Linked DNA regions of Caenorhabditis elegans. The protein of the gene in region 1 interacts with the protein of each later gene in a pairwise test. Each region holds a gene or a part of one and is shown on either strand. Other genes may lie near its edges. The genes, in order: hlh-27, ceh-30, K03B8.4 and sox-3.

Region 1 (3,442 bases):
CAGTTTCAGTGATTTTGATTGAAATTGAATACTAATTTCCTCACCAATTACATTCAATCACTTGACTTGACTTCGCTATTAATTTATTGCTCATAGTTTCAGATCTTACCTTCACATCTGCTACAAAATGGACCGCAGAAAGCTTCAAAAAGAGGCAAGAAGTGAAATGAAAAAGGTGAGTATTTCAATCTCGTTCTGAAATTCAACTCATCTTTTATATTCAGACCGCCAATGGCGTCGACCGTGCCACATATAACCGAGCAAAGGCTCTTTTGGAGATAATCCGGAAGGTTAGAAATATACATTTATTCGTCATCACATTACATTTCTAGAATGCCTAGGACCGTTTCAAGACATCTGTGAGAATTATGGAAACCCGCCTTCAGGAAGAGATTGCCACAAATGATCTGGCTTCCTCCACGATCTCCAAGGTGAGTCATGATAATTTTGACTCGGCAAGTTTCCAAAAATTGTCTTCCGTCGTTGTACGATGAAATTTATGGCTTAATATATTAAAGAATAAAAAATAAAAAATTGTAATTTGGGAGACAGATGTGAGTATATTTAAGGTCATAGCTACTGCCATAGGATTACTGTAGCCAATATTCCAGTAGCTGAACTATTCCACGGGCAATCTCCGTTGTTATCATGATACTGTATGATAATTGTAATAAAACTAAAAATCGTTTCTGAGATCATGAGCGAAGATCAAATGAATTTATTGGCGGGTTATTATAAGGCTACTGTCGTGATACTGTAGTGATACTGTTGCCGAAATTCATATCATTGGAGCAAACAGGGAACACAATTTATATTATAAATCGTCCTATCAACTTTCAAACTTATGTCGTTTCAGTCACGCCATGCCATTTTTGCGTCCATAATCGAAGAGCTCAAATCAATTTCCTCTCACTTTTGCATTCCAGCTCTTCCAATATGATTGTTCTCCATATTTATTCTGTTGACCACTGTCAATTCAAAATAGATATCTTCTTATATAAAAATTATGTTCGAAGAAACTGTTGCAAATCAATCTTGTTTAGAATTACTGGCAAAATAATTTCAGTTGTTTTCTCCTATTTTATTTCTTTTCGAGATATTTCTGTTTAAAATGTTGTTCATCCGGTACAGTTGATACTACTATAAACTTATAGAATAAATTAACACAGTGCCAATATCCTAATTCACAGTCTCAGCCGGAATTTCCCAGGCAGTACCCAATCGATATCCAGTCGTCTAGTTTCGCATGGTCCCAAGACAAAACTGGAGATGTCCAGCCTCGTTCTCATGAGAACCTCACTGATGAACCATGGGAACCCATGATGGGGACTGTAAAAATAGAGATTTCAGAATAATTCCCATGGCTCCAAACGCTTGATACAAAGCTCCACCCTCTGAACAATAATGGAACTATAAAAGGTAACCATTTATTCATTGTTCATTTACTTTCTTGGTGGATCACTGGTCTGCTGGTTTAGTATACTTTTTGATAATTGTAACATCAGGAAAGTGTACTGATTTTGATCAATTACTTTTAAAGCATTCAGTGAACTGTATACTTCTAGAAAAACAGCACGAGTTATCTCACTAAACTAAATCAATTTGTGCTGCTTTCTTGGTCTCATTTTTCTGTTTTGTCACAATTATTCCTTTTATTTAACGGCTCATCTTGAAATTTTATAAATTCTAGATTTCTTCTTGATTTTAAAAAGATTAAAACTTATCAAATTTCAGATGCCAAAAGTTATCCCATCTTCAATGAGCGATTATCGTTCCGTCCCATACAATCAAACTCCAAAATCAGGATCTGAACGGAAAAGAAGAAATATTACAAACGAGTTGATTAACGAATGCAAGACGATTGTTCAAAAATCAGAAGAAGAACATATATCGTAAGTTTAAATACTCTGTTAGCTTAAAATAGTTATTAAACTAATTCATTTTTTAGACAAGAAGTAGTTCTCTTCCGAATTGTGAAACTTGTGACTGGAGTTAATCTGGAATCTAATTTCTCATCGAATGACCTCTCCGAATCTACAAGACGGAAGTTTGATACTGAATCCGAAAGAAGAAAAGTGAAGACTGAACGTGAAAAGATTCGAAGAAAGAAACAAGATGACTGTTATGCTGAATTGAAATTCTTCATTTTGAACAAACAAATGGGAAGTTACGAGCAACGGTAAGAGTTTCATTATGGCTAATAAAAATTCAAAAAATTATTTTCAGATTAAAACTTGAACGGATCACAATTCTAGAAATCATCATTGATTACATTAAACACAATTCCGATCTTCTGTATCCAGAAACAATTCCCCAAATACTTCCTCTTTTAGCTGGAAAATCAACTGCTACTTGTGAGAACAAAGAGAATGAAAAGCCAAAAACACGAATGGAAGTGAAGGATCTCTTCCCAAGATTGACGTTTCAAGAAGTTCAAGAATCCCCAACATCTACTTCTCCATTGCTCACATTTCCATGTATTCCAATGATCCCAACTACTCAGTTCAATGTCTTGTCAAACTACAACACCGTTCCATCAATATTTTCTGCTCCCCTCCGATTCATTCTTCCATCACTTCAAATCTTAACACCAGAAACTAGTGACGAGGAAGAAAATGAAGAAACCGTCGATATTAGTAACTAGTCTATCAAGTTCTTCCAGATCTTACAATTAGTTTCTGAGCAATTTTTCGAAAATCTTCATTGTCTATATTGCGTTTTTGATTCATTTTTTTATCTTTCTATGGCCAATATTCCCGAACTTTTTCATCCCATCGCGTCGCAATCTATTTTTGAAGATTTTTTACTACTCACGTGATAGTCTTGTCTAAATTATTCTGTTTGAAAATGAATGTTTATTCGGTAAAATTTGTTAGCCAGAATACAAGCAAGACAAGTATGTATAATCAAAGTTCCATTAGTCCACACCAAATTCCATCTCCCAGTCATACGGAAACTCTTCAATGTCCTTGTCTAGCATCACTTTTTGCAGTGTTGTATAGATCATCTCATAATCGGGCTCCTTGAAGAACGAAAGACTGTCGATATAGCTGGAAATGGAAAATTACGAATAAATCAGCTTTGGTAGAGACTCACTTCATAATCAAGCGAAATTCATCTGGGCAGCCAGCAAGGAATTGGCCCATGATCGGTTGGAAGCGGGAATTCTTCTTCATCGCACCAATCTCGCCAATCTCATTTACATTTTTCCAGGGAAGAGCTGCATTGGTGAAATCGACGAGCATGTAGAACCTAGAAAAACACATTTTCTCAAATAAAAACTATTATTCTTATTTTCAATTCTAAGTGATAACCCAATCTGGCCTTCTGGCATCTTTACAGAATATATCACATAAATGACTAGTTCTTAAATTGATTAAACTAGCCAGCTTTCCAAATCGTCCTTCAGTCCATGTTCCGCCGTATTATGTGATGCAAGCGG
Region 2 (4,487 bases), on another chromosome or scaffold:
CTTCCGGCAGTTCCATCAATTGTATTCGTTAACCTGCCGCTGATCGGTGCAAGCTATAAGTCAACATGTCACATAAAAAGGTGCCTAAAAAGGACACAATTGCCGGGTGGCTTTGATAAACACCGCTTCACACACTTGAAGGAGTCGTTTACCTGGTCTCAATTGCCATTGTCAAAAAAAAAGAAGCGTCTCTATTGCGCAACAGAACACAATAGAGCAGCCACGTGTGTGCTGGTCCCACCGGTCTGCGACACCTTTCCGGGAGTGTCCTTTAATCTAATTATTTATGTTGGCAATTGTAATGAGCTGTATGGAAAGGATACGATATTATGTAATAGAACCTGCTTACCCGGGAGATTTCAAAGGCGGCTTCTGTCTCCTAAACAAGCTCATATTCATATTGCCAGCTTTTTTCTTGTTACTGGGTGTCAAGATGTATGTTCACAATTAAGAGTGGGGGAAATGGCAAATGACAATTATCTCTAATGCATTTTCATTTCCACTTCCAATTTTCCTTTTTTTTTCAACTTCCCATTTTTCAATTTGTAACTGTATCGTTTTCCAGTCAATCTTCCTGCGCGCCCAATATTTTACGCTACGTTGAGTTGAAAGTGTCTCCGCTTTTTGCACCTCTTCTAAATATACAAGGACGGAACGATCATCTTGTTTCTCAACATTACCAAGGTAGCAAATATATAAGTAGAAGAAAGAGCTAATGAGAATGATTTATGTGAACTATCAAATAAAACAACTGCTGGCGGAATGAGGAACGCAATGACTTTGAAACATGTCTATGTACATAGCTGGGCGGTCGAAAATTAGCTGAATGTCCTTCCATGCCAATCGGCTTGGAATCGCGAAACAAAAAACCATTTTATTTGTTTTGTAATTGACGGTTAGTATGCAAAATTAATCGACACTTCAGAGTAGATTTCTCTTCGAAATATAGGAATCGGTGGATGTTAATTACATGGGTTTTGTCACTCCGAATATGGGATTTTAACGCTTTTTGCAGTTTCAAATTATTTTTGTGTCTGGTTAAGATGTGAAAATGCATTGTTTCAAGGACAGAGCGAAGATTGTTCATAATATCGGCAAGTGGCCTTATTCTGAAACTCTATTGCAACATTACGTGTTTTGGGGGAAAATGAAACTATAAACAGAACTAATTTGAGAAAAGCGACAAAAATATGTATTCATTCAGAAAAAAAGGAAACAGAGTGTTTACAACAATGATTGAAATTATTTGAAATTAAATAAAAAACAATCACCGTATTTCTACAGGTTACTGAAATCGTGATTCGTAACAAAAATTTACCGTAACTTCTATAACTTTTTTTTGCCGAAAAATACGTTGAGTAACCTTTTGTCGATTTTGTGAAAAACAAACCGACTAAGCTTATATATGGAGATTAGTAAGATGGTCTTTCTGCAAGTAAGTGAAAAACTGTGAAAATGAAACTTTAACATTTCGAGCACCAACCTGAAAATTAGAGTTCGATATCCAGCTTTGGCAGAATAATATTCCATATTGTTTATTTCCAAGTTTGACAATTCATCAAATGTTTCCCTAGAACCACCGTTTGACAGGTTGCTCCAATTAGCCGCAGTGTGCAGCTATTCCCAACCATCTTCCCCCATCTCATTTTCGCCATCATTTTCCCCCGCATCATCTGAGATGTGCAAAATGAAAGGTCAAGTTATAGATTTCGTGTTATTAAATACAAATAATTGACTTCTCATGTGGCGTTGGATCTCGAAAATCGAGTGTAATTGTCATGACCATGTTTAGGAGGGCGGTGGTGGTAGCTGCTGCTGCATCATCCTTCCCAATGTCAACGCACCCTCTTCTCTCACCCAAATTGCCAGGCCGTCGCCCCGCCCACTCTCGCACATTTAACTTGTCTTATAGTCACCCCTCATCGTCCGACAATAACCAATCATCGGTGCCTTCAACAGTGTCGCATTCCCGACTTTCGAACGTGCAAAGCATTCGTTTAACACTTTTCTACAGTACCACTCACTTCCCAAAATGTCACTTCTCGACCCTCGGCAGTTTCTGCTTCCCGCTTTTTATCTGGATCCGACTACACAAGCACTTCTAGCTCAAGCAGCTTCAACTTCCCCGTGCAACAAAATTTCGTCTTCTTCTTCATTCCGCATTTCTGACATTCTCGAGCAATCCCCAAACAATTCATCCCATTCAAACGATCACGGTAAGTCATTACACCTGCAATTGATTCCAAAATTCCAAACATTCAAAACGACAGCCATTAAAAGTTTTGTGCGCGGCGCGTTACCCATCAAAAATTTACTCAACCATGCTCTCGATTTTCTCCTCTCAATGGTGACTACCCGGAAATGATAGTTTGAATGTAGGGGGGGGGGGGGGTAAAAGGATTAATGCCTTAATGAACATATGAATACAGTTCTCTTCCGGGGTCAATCTTTTGTTTTGTTCTTTTTGTGCATCAATAACCATCAACTTTCAGACCCATCGCCACAATCAATTAAATCTGATTTTTCAACTTCGCCAAGAGCAAGCAGCCCCGGCGGCGATCGAATGGGTAGTCCAGGCAGTTGCAAAAAATCTCGGAAGGCAAGAACCATCTTCACTGACAAGCAGTTGCAAGAGTTGGAGAATACATTTGAAAAGCAAAAGTATCTATCAGTCCAGGACAGGATGGATTTGGCGCACAGAATGGGTCTCACTGATACTCAAGTCAAGACGTGGTACCAAAATAGAAGGTTAGTAATAACGTCTTTCAATTATCGTTGGAATTATCGTTGGAATTATCGTTGGTAGCAGAGTCAATTCTTAACATACATATGTACATTCTCAAATTAATAACAAGCGTAGCCGCCAATTGAGCCCACCCTTGTAGATTACTACACCAACCACGCTCACATTTCCTAATTATTGTTCAAGGCGGCGGTGTTCTATGTGAATATTTGATGTGATGACTTGTCATCAGAGCATCATCATCGTCGTCATCATCAAATTTTCACCAGCTTTTAGTATCGGTTTCATTGGTGAATGAAGTGGATAGACGAATTTGTGCCTCTTTTGAAATGTATCCATGCATTCACAATCTGGAAAACCTTTCAAAACGTCGCTATTGTTGTGTAGTTATCGCCGGGGTGGTCTCCTGCTCTTTTGCACAATAATGAGGCGTATGAGTCCGCTAAGAGGCAGATCACCTGCTTTTGGTCCCAAGGTTCGGCAGCGTTGAATTAATCCGAATATAGTCAAGTGGTGGTTAATACATATAATATATCTAGTTGCGACATAAAAACATCATTATTACAATAACGGGACACTCAAAAATTAAGATGTGAAAAGTGAAGACGTCCGGTCTAGTGGAACAAAATACGGCAATTCAAATTACTCAAATTACTTAATGTTTTTTATAGAACAAAATGGAAGCGACAGGCAACAAGTGGAATGGATCTTCTATCGGAACCTGGAAACCTCTCCGCAGTTCAGAACTTGATCAGAAGCAGTCCATATTGGGCCAACTATATCACAGCCTTACCTATGGGCACTCAGCTACCGATGATGGGCCTACCCATGTCTATGATTGTTCCCCCAGCCCATGCTTTCCAGCCTTCCTCCTCTTCAAATTCTCCATCCACTCACATATCCAGTGAATCCCCTCAGTTGGATGTTTCCAGCAACTCAGAATAGTATTTCTTGTGTTAATTTTTAAAATTTGTATGTAATATTTTCAATTAAAGTCACAAAAACCGATCTCAATGGGTTAGATAGGGAGAAGACGCTTTCTTTTTTTCACAACATTGCATATGTATCGCTTGTGTTATTTTTATTTTGCTTGATTATGTCATTTCCACGTCATTAATAATAATATTATTATTTTATTATGCTGTTCGTGGATGATGACGATTTCCGAAATCTGATAAGAAAACTGGAGATGGTGGGGCATTCAAAAATACAATGAACACAAGACGTGCCAGAAGCGCCAGGTGTTGGCGAGTGGCGCAACCGTTCTGATTTTATCGCGACGGAAGAGGTAAATATGTGAGATAGAATACTTGGCAGGCGTCGTTAACACCTCACCTGTTCGACAAATACCTTTACCTGACAGACGGTTCCTAGCTCACTTTTTCAAAAAATGTGGAGAAATTAGTAAAACTTATTTCTATGGTGTTCAAATGTCCAAAGATCATGATAAAACCTTTCAAATAGAAATTGGAAATTTTGGTACTTTTGTGTGAATCGAACTCAGTTTTCACCAGTAACAATAAACATTTCTCGCAATAAAAATTTTCCAAAATTTTTTTTCAAAAATGATATGTAGTAATTTAGCAAAATTTTGACATTCATAGTAAAGGCACAAATTGTTTTTCTGAGTGGGTCTCGCCACGATCTCAGTTAAAATGCTTGCTACAGGCGCGAATATATACAAATTTGTTGTTAACTTGATAATAAAATTAAAGTTTGTGAACTTTTAAATTTTAAAGTGAAC
Region 3 (2,567 bases), on another chromosome or scaffold:
TAGTTTGCAGTTTCTAGAAAATGCCCACCACTACCAGAAAATAATCCACTTTTTTCACACTGTTAAGGCAACACATAAACATTAAGTTGGTCGTGAACGCCGAGAAACGGAAATATACATATGTATGTCGAAATGAAAGAAAAACTCACGTCTATGCACGTATCGTTAAATGTTAGATGTTGTACTATGTTATTCATCCCAATGTATGATGAACAGCCTTTACCGTTAACAAGTTGGACCCTGTTAGGAATTGAACAGTTTTCTTCAAAAGTCACGCAAGTTTGTGAAGATATGAAGTTCATGGAGAAAAGCATCAATTCTCGCTTTTCAGTACCTCAAAGTACATGTTTATAAGTTGTATTTCACTACTTCAAAATATAATAGAACTTACTGAATGAAGAATCAAAGCAATATAATAATTTTGCACTACTCGGTAGTTGGCTCCTCCTGGGGCGCGAAGGGGGTGCGACTGGCGCGCGAAAAGAGGTGAAATGCGCCTGGCGCGAGGATAGGGCGTGACTGGAGTGCGGAACAGGCGCGCTCGGATTGTGAAAAGAGTATTCTGAAACTGCCAAAGTGTCTACATAAGATGTATTAATCAATTTCTTGCGAACATATTATTGCTTTGAGACATATTTTCACACAAAAGTGAATTGTGTTTGTTCTATACGTTAATTGTAAACGTTTTGCAGCCATGCTAGTTACTGAAAAACCAAAACTTCAATTTAAATTCTGATATGAGGTTAGAAGAGAACAATATGGTTCATCTTACAAGGAAATTGTATTAAAATCTATCAATAATCGTACTGTTATCTAATGATGTTACGTTATAAAATATGTTCATTTTACCTATGCAGATAAAGTTAAGGCGATGTCTTGAGAATGTCTCCATTAGGAAACTCGCAGCATTGGCATTGTGGAGGCACGATGCACACATTCCTAAGAAAGTTGCCCCTAAATGCCAGGTATATTTTCCAATAGAAAGATATAAAAGATATGTGTAGTTTGTGTGAACATCTTCAAACTAATTTTCTAGATCACATGTCTCGTTGTTGTATTTTATACGTTTAGTATTGTGGCACCATATTACTGAAAGCTGAAAGAGACTAGATTGGCAATTATTATATATCAACTACATCATTCATACATATATAACATATAAGTGAAGAGATATATATATATATATATATATATATATATATATATATATATATATATATATATATATATATATATCAACCTGTTTTGGCAATGAGGCTGTCTGAAAGTAACAGGTTCGCGAAGAGAAACTGTTTTTGCACGCCGTCCGCGTTCTGACCGCGCCCCATCCGCGCCCATTCCGCACTCCTTCCGCACCCCTTCCGCGCCCCGTTCGCGCAACACGAACGACAATCCGTCCAAAATTGGCTTATGTTCGAGAAACACCACTTCTCGATGAGCAGCCTGCGGCTCCTGCTATTCCAGAGTGAATAGAATGAGATTAATGAAAGTGATTTATGGAATGATATAACTCTTGATCAAAAGTGTTATGATATTATCGAACAGATCAACGAACTGAAGGCTCGCCGCGATTTCTACGCAAGATTCTACACCGAGCCCGCAGAATTCATCAAAAGCTGGGTGATGAGCCAGAATTCGGACCTGAAGACTATGAACGAGCTGAGCGGGGATCTTGAAGCCGAAAGATTCGCTGAATCCTACGTGAGACCTGAAACAGAGGAAGGAGTTCAAAGGTATTAATGTTTTTCGGGGGTTCTAGAAATTAAAAAGTTTTTTTTCAGATACATGTTCCAAAAGGTGAACCAGAAGCGACATGAATTGGAGCAAATCTTGGTGTTCGATCAAATTAAGGCTCCATTGCCAAAAAAGAAGAAGTATGTGGACTCAAAACAGGTAAAGAAAAAACGAATTATTGCTAAAGAAAACCAGCTAGTAAAACAATGTAAAATATTAAACGAATAACAAAATGACATATAGGAAACCATGAAATGATAACTTTGAATTAAATTAAGTAACAAAAAATTGATGAGACTATTTTTGAGCTTTGAAGATGCGAAGCTACATATTTGCAAATACGTAGCTTTTGATCAAAACATTTTTGAAGCAATAGGTTGCTCTAGTTGCCGTTTCACGGGCATAATTGTGTAAGTCTATTTTTAAAGATATTTCATTGATTTTTTCAATATACTGACTTAATTAAATAGATTAATTTGAGCTTTTCAGAGAGGATGATGATCAGCAACACCAGTCTCCCGCCGTCTAGGGATCAATTGGCCTGCAGCCAAGCTGTCTTCAATCTGTTAATTTATTTTTTAATTGTTTTTCCATTGTTCGTTGTTGTAATAAATGCAATTCTTATTAATCTAAGATTTCAATTTCAATATGAAAATCGGCGGGAGCGAGAATAAAATCGAACCGGGCGCGTAGTGTGTGCGAAAGAAATGCGCTCGGCGCGCGAAAATTGTGCGACTAGATCGCGAGACAGTAGCCTAGTCGCGCCCCGTCCGCGCGCCAGTCGCACCCTCGTCGCGCGCCAAGCGAGCCAAACTACCGAGTAGTCCATTTTT
Region 4 (4,419 bases), on another chromosome or scaffold:
AATTCTTGTAAAAATAATAGTTTTTGTCATGTGAAGTGTATTGTTTTTTGTGTGAGTAGCTAATGTTTACAGGAGAGGGGTACTGTAGAATTTCAAGGTACAGGGTGAGGTACGGAGGTAATGAGTACAGAGAAAATGTAGTCTAGAACGTGAAACATTACACATTTTCCAGTTAGAGGTACAATAAGGGACTCAGTTCTCATATACATATGCCTCATAACTCATATACATATGCTTGAAAATTAAAAATAGGATAACAGTATTTAAGCATGAGCATATGCCTTATAATGCTATAATTTCCAAATATCACTGTAAAACGTTTTATATATACACAGTCAAAAAGCTTTTACCTATCATAATTTTGAAGTCGACCAAAAAACTTTTTCACTAGGAGTAGTATATTTTAATTTTTTTCCAATTGTTTTTAATAGTAGTTCAAACAAGCGGCAATACTCTAAGTACCTTGAAGCCCAAATTTTTCATATATTAAACAATTTACCAAAATTTGATTGCAAAGTTTGTTAAATCTAAAGTTTTCAATTTTTTCCTATAACATTCAATCACGTTGGATTATCTTAAGTTTATCCATACTAAAGATACTCTACATATTTATTAAAATTTCAAATTGATTTTGAAAGTTTTGATACATCATTTAGGTATTTAAAAAATCTAGTTTTATAGATTTTATATATAAGTTTCTGAATACGTTCAGGTAACAATTTAAAAATTTGTTGAGCTCAAAAACATAATTGTGCTGGAAACCATAAAAATTTTGAAATGGATTTAAATTAAGGATTTAACACGTTTGCAATTTTTTGAAATTTCTTGCCTTGCGTCCCGTCCAACTCTGTTCGGAGAGGGGTCGGAAGTGAACAATCAACATTCTAAACAGAACACGAATTTACACATTTTCAACATTAAATATTGTGCCCCATCGTCCATCGTCAACCGTCACTTTTCACCTAACTTTCCTCTGTAAAAAGTTCGATCTAAAACATTGTATCATCCAAAGTATCAGCACGATGTGTTTGTTAGCACAGTGTCATATGATGTCGAATAAGAATTCATGGAAAAAAAAAACGTGTTTGGTTTTTCTTGTATTCGTTTTTGAAAATGCTCAAACTAGGTATTCAGTGTTCCGTTATTATTAGAAAAGTCGTTTTGCTTCACTGAACTAAACTAACTAGGAACTCTTGAATAACTTTTGAAATATTGAGAATTTGCAAAATTAGTTCACAGTTCATGCTTGACTTCATTCACCTTCCTACGAGTTCTTGCAATCATTATATCAGCGTAAGTTGCTATTTCAGTAGGGTCACATAGGAGCCATCTTGAGTATCAATTTCGATTACCGTATTTCCTCGCAACTCATTTTGGCTCCGCCTACTGTCTCTCGTCTATTTGTGCGCCGCCTCTTGTTGGCCACTGAGACGAGGGAGGACACGCATAATATAGCACGCGTCTGTCTCTCTTTCTTTTTTTTTTCGGAAATTTACCATTTCCTCATTCAGGTTTTCTTTTCTCTCTTACGTTTATTTTATGAGTAGGGTTTCCAGTTCTCGGTTTCTAGTTTCTTGTTTTCAAATTATTTCCAAAGTTTTCCCGAAATTATTTGTATTTGGTATTAATTTTTTCAAAAGTTTTGTTAGCATACATTGTCTTTCAGCGGTATGACTGACCTCTCTTGTCTGTATCCTTCACTTTTATGCACTGAAGCTGCAAAAACATCTTATGACGAAGACACAACGTCTGTTTCATCTGGTTTAAGCCCTCCGGGCTCTCCAGTCGATCTACAAAACTCGCTGGATCATGTGAAACGGCCGATGAATGCATTTATGGTTTGGAGCAGAGGACAGAGAAGGAAAATGGCACAGGTGCATTTTAAATATTTAAATTTTTTAGGTTATTATGTAAGTAAGTAATTTATTCAGGATAATCCAAAAATGCACAATTCCGAAATAAGTAAACGGTTGGGTGCAGAATGGAAACAGCTATCAGAGCAGGAAAAACGACCATTTATTGATGAAGCAAAACGGCTCAGAGCTTTACATATGAAGGTAGTTTAATTACATTTTTCAATAGTTATATTATTAATTTCTATACTCAGGAGCACCCAGACTACAAATACCGTCCACGAAGAAAGCCAAAATCCTCCAATCTGAAGCAACAACCTCGTTTGAACATCGCCATGCCAACCATCCCGCCACAATCACTTTTCAACTATTCCACAGCATTCGACTCATTGAAAACCCATGACCTCTCCCAATACTACTCATCATTCTTCCAATCGCCCGTATTATCCGGCTCAACCTATGCTCCATACAATATGATGGCTGCTTATGCGAGACAAGCTGCAGCCGTGGCTGCTGCAAGTCAAGTGTCGGCTTCAACAACGCCAACAGCTCCTGCCACGTAACTTGCTGAATTGTCATGTACGTTACACTTTTTTTTGAATTGTTTAATAAGGTATAGGTATTTTGAATTAACAGAAAAGAGAAATGTTGATCTTTGAAGAGCCACATAAGAGTAAAAAATGTATCATAACAATATATTAGTCATTTCTGTATTTCTAAAATTTCTAGAAAAAGTCTTATATATGTGTTATTGACATTCAAAACTTTGAAACAAATTAATCGGTGTAGCTGAAATCCCAAACTACCGCAATCCCATATTACAGTAGTTGATTCCATTTTTGTTTTATTTTTAAAAAAAGTTACAGTCGATAAATACACAAATGTGTTGCTTATTTTTGTGAGCTTATCGACAAAAAATAAGTCAGCGGCTGTAATGAACAAGCTACCCAAATTTGAAAATATTTTATTTGAGGCTTTCCATATCAAAACTTGAATACGCAATAATAATTTTTGAAAAGTTTTAACATTAAAATTTAGTAGTTTAGGCTCACAATATTTGAGAAATTTTGAAATTTTTACTTTTAAAGATTAAGTTAATTTTAACGGTAGGCAAAGCTTTTGGGAAGAATATATCTTACGGTTTTTGTTGGCTTGATGTTCCGTTGAACTTCTAGTTGACGTTTTGCTCTTAATTCTTATCTAGTCTTGTTTCAAACTATACAAATCGCCCAACAATTTACTACACTTCAATTTTCAAATATCAACTTTCCCACAAGTCATTCATTCCTTTTCTTCCGCTATAAAGACATTAGGTGGTCGGTCACTTGTTTCCGACCGAAATCGGTTCATAACCATAAGAAACGCGTCCAAGTGTAAAACCCTCCTTTCCCCCTTCTCTTTTTGAATTAACACCACCACTAAATTCGACTCCCGCCAATTTGTGTATTGTGCACCTCGCGCACTTCCGGTTACACACGGTTACATTGTTCCATGCCAAATTCTTATTATTTTCACTTGAAGTGTATCGGTTTGATTTTTTCCAACACACAAAAAATGAATGAATGAAAAGGTGTGAGTGTATCATGCGCGAATAAGTCGAATAAGTCGCGCGCTTTGTGTTGAAATGTACTGTTTACTGAATGATTGACATATGTGTGCAGTTTAGATTTGAAGATGAGCAATGATTCCATTTTCTTATCGCTTTCGGAGAAAAGACAATAAAAATGACTCAGAATAATGATGAATAGTCTATATGTGTTTGGGAATTGTGTTTTACTTTGTATTTTAAACTACCATCTGATTTTCAGGTTTGCTCAATACCATGCTTCACCTTCAATGAGCAGAATCTCCCTACAAATGCCATACAGACAAATTGATTCTAATTTTTCGATAATTTTGATTCGAATGTGCTATGTGCAACCTACCTGTACTTTTCTATTTTGCTGTATCTTCCATAAATGAAATATAAAATTTTGTGAAGAAATAACTACAAACTTTGGGTTTTATCAATTTTATCTATTTGTCAGCTGCACTCAAAAGCTCATCACCAGGATACGGTATTTTTTTTAACGGTTGTTCAAAGTGTGCCTGCCGCAAAAGTGTACAAGAATAAATAGGCGCCCAATGTAATGTTAGTATTCAATTTTTGCGACTTCTATTGTACAACAAATTCAATACAATAGATTGAATTGTTCAAGAACAAACTTCCAATTCATTGTTGGTTGAAACGAATGAATAGAATCAAGGAAGGAAAGAAGGTATTCAACAACTTTTACTCCTCTCTCCTTTATTTTCACCCCCACTGTCCCTTGCCATTGATATTTACCATTTGCTGTCCCCTGTCACCTCCTCTGTCATTGACGACCGATACCCCCATGGAGTTACATTTTTTTTTTCGTTGAGGTTGCCTGAACAAAGAGAACAATGTCCGCACTTAAAACGCCTAATCAAATCGGTTCACACGCTGAGAAAAAAGTTGAGGGAAGTCTAAACCATTTCATGGTCATTTGTTAGATGGAAATTTATAGAAACAGGTCATGTTGCGAGAATTTTTCGACCTTAAGTT

What was found.
Region 2: the proteins of hlh-27 (region 1) and ceh-30 interact in a two-hybrid assay, tested with the Caenorhabditis elegans proteins (one large-scale study listed by BioGRID).
Region 3: the proteins of hlh-27 (region 1) and K03B8.4 interact in a two-hybrid assay, tested with the Caenorhabditis elegans proteins (one large-scale study listed by BioGRID).
Region 4: the proteins of hlh-27 (region 1) and sox-3 interact in a two-hybrid assay, tested with the Caenorhabditis elegans proteins (one large-scale study listed by BioGRID).

The regions. Positions count from the first base shown.
Region 1 is NC_003280.10:5,538,502-5,541,943, reverse strand, and holds hlh-27 (BHLH domain-containing protein), read left to right. Parts: upstream 1-1,730; 5' UTR 1,731-1,734; coding exon 1,735-1,892; intron 1,893-1,948; coding exon 1,949-2,179; intron 2,180-2,226; coding exon 2,227-2,644; 3' UTR 2,645-2,869; downstream 2,870-3,442. Other genes in the region: C17C3.24 (uncharacterized protein), read left to right, coding at 369-431, 857-940.
Region 2 is NC_003284.9:3,061,674-3,066,160, forward strand, and holds ceh-30 (Homeobox protein ceh-30), read left to right. Parts: upstream 1-1,900; 5' UTR 1,901-2,032; coding exon 2,033-2,216; intron 2,217-2,492; coding exon 2,493-2,748; exon of another isoform or gene 2,749-2,953; intron 2,954-3,061; exon of another isoform or gene 3,062-3,211; intron 3,212-3,214; exon of another isoform or gene 3,215-3,360; intron 3,361-3,414; coding exon 3,415-3,688; 3' UTR 3,689-3,878; downstream 3,879-4,487.
Region 3 is NC_003283.11:11,394,181-11,396,747, reverse strand, and holds K03B8.4 (uncharacterized protein), read left to right. Parts: upstream 1-1,623; coding exon 1,624-1,733; intron 1,734-1,781; coding exon 1,782-1,962; downstream 1,963-2,567. Other genes in the region: Zinc metalloproteinase nas-18, read right to left, coding at 150-314.
Region 4 is NC_003284.9:14,690,247-14,694,665, reverse strand, and holds sox-3 (Transcription factor sox-3), read left to right. Parts: upstream 1-1,666; 5' UTR 1,667-1,670; coding exon 1,671-1,874; intron 1,875-1,931; coding exon 1,932-2,057; intron 2,058-2,107; coding exon 2,108-2,416; 3' UTR 2,417-2,432; intron 2,433-3,661; 3' UTR 3,662-3,836; downstream 3,837-4,419. UniProt on the Caenorhabditis elegans protein: Probable transcription factor. Involved in the terminal differentiation of some neuronal cell types. Dispensable for neuronal fate commitment during embryogenesis.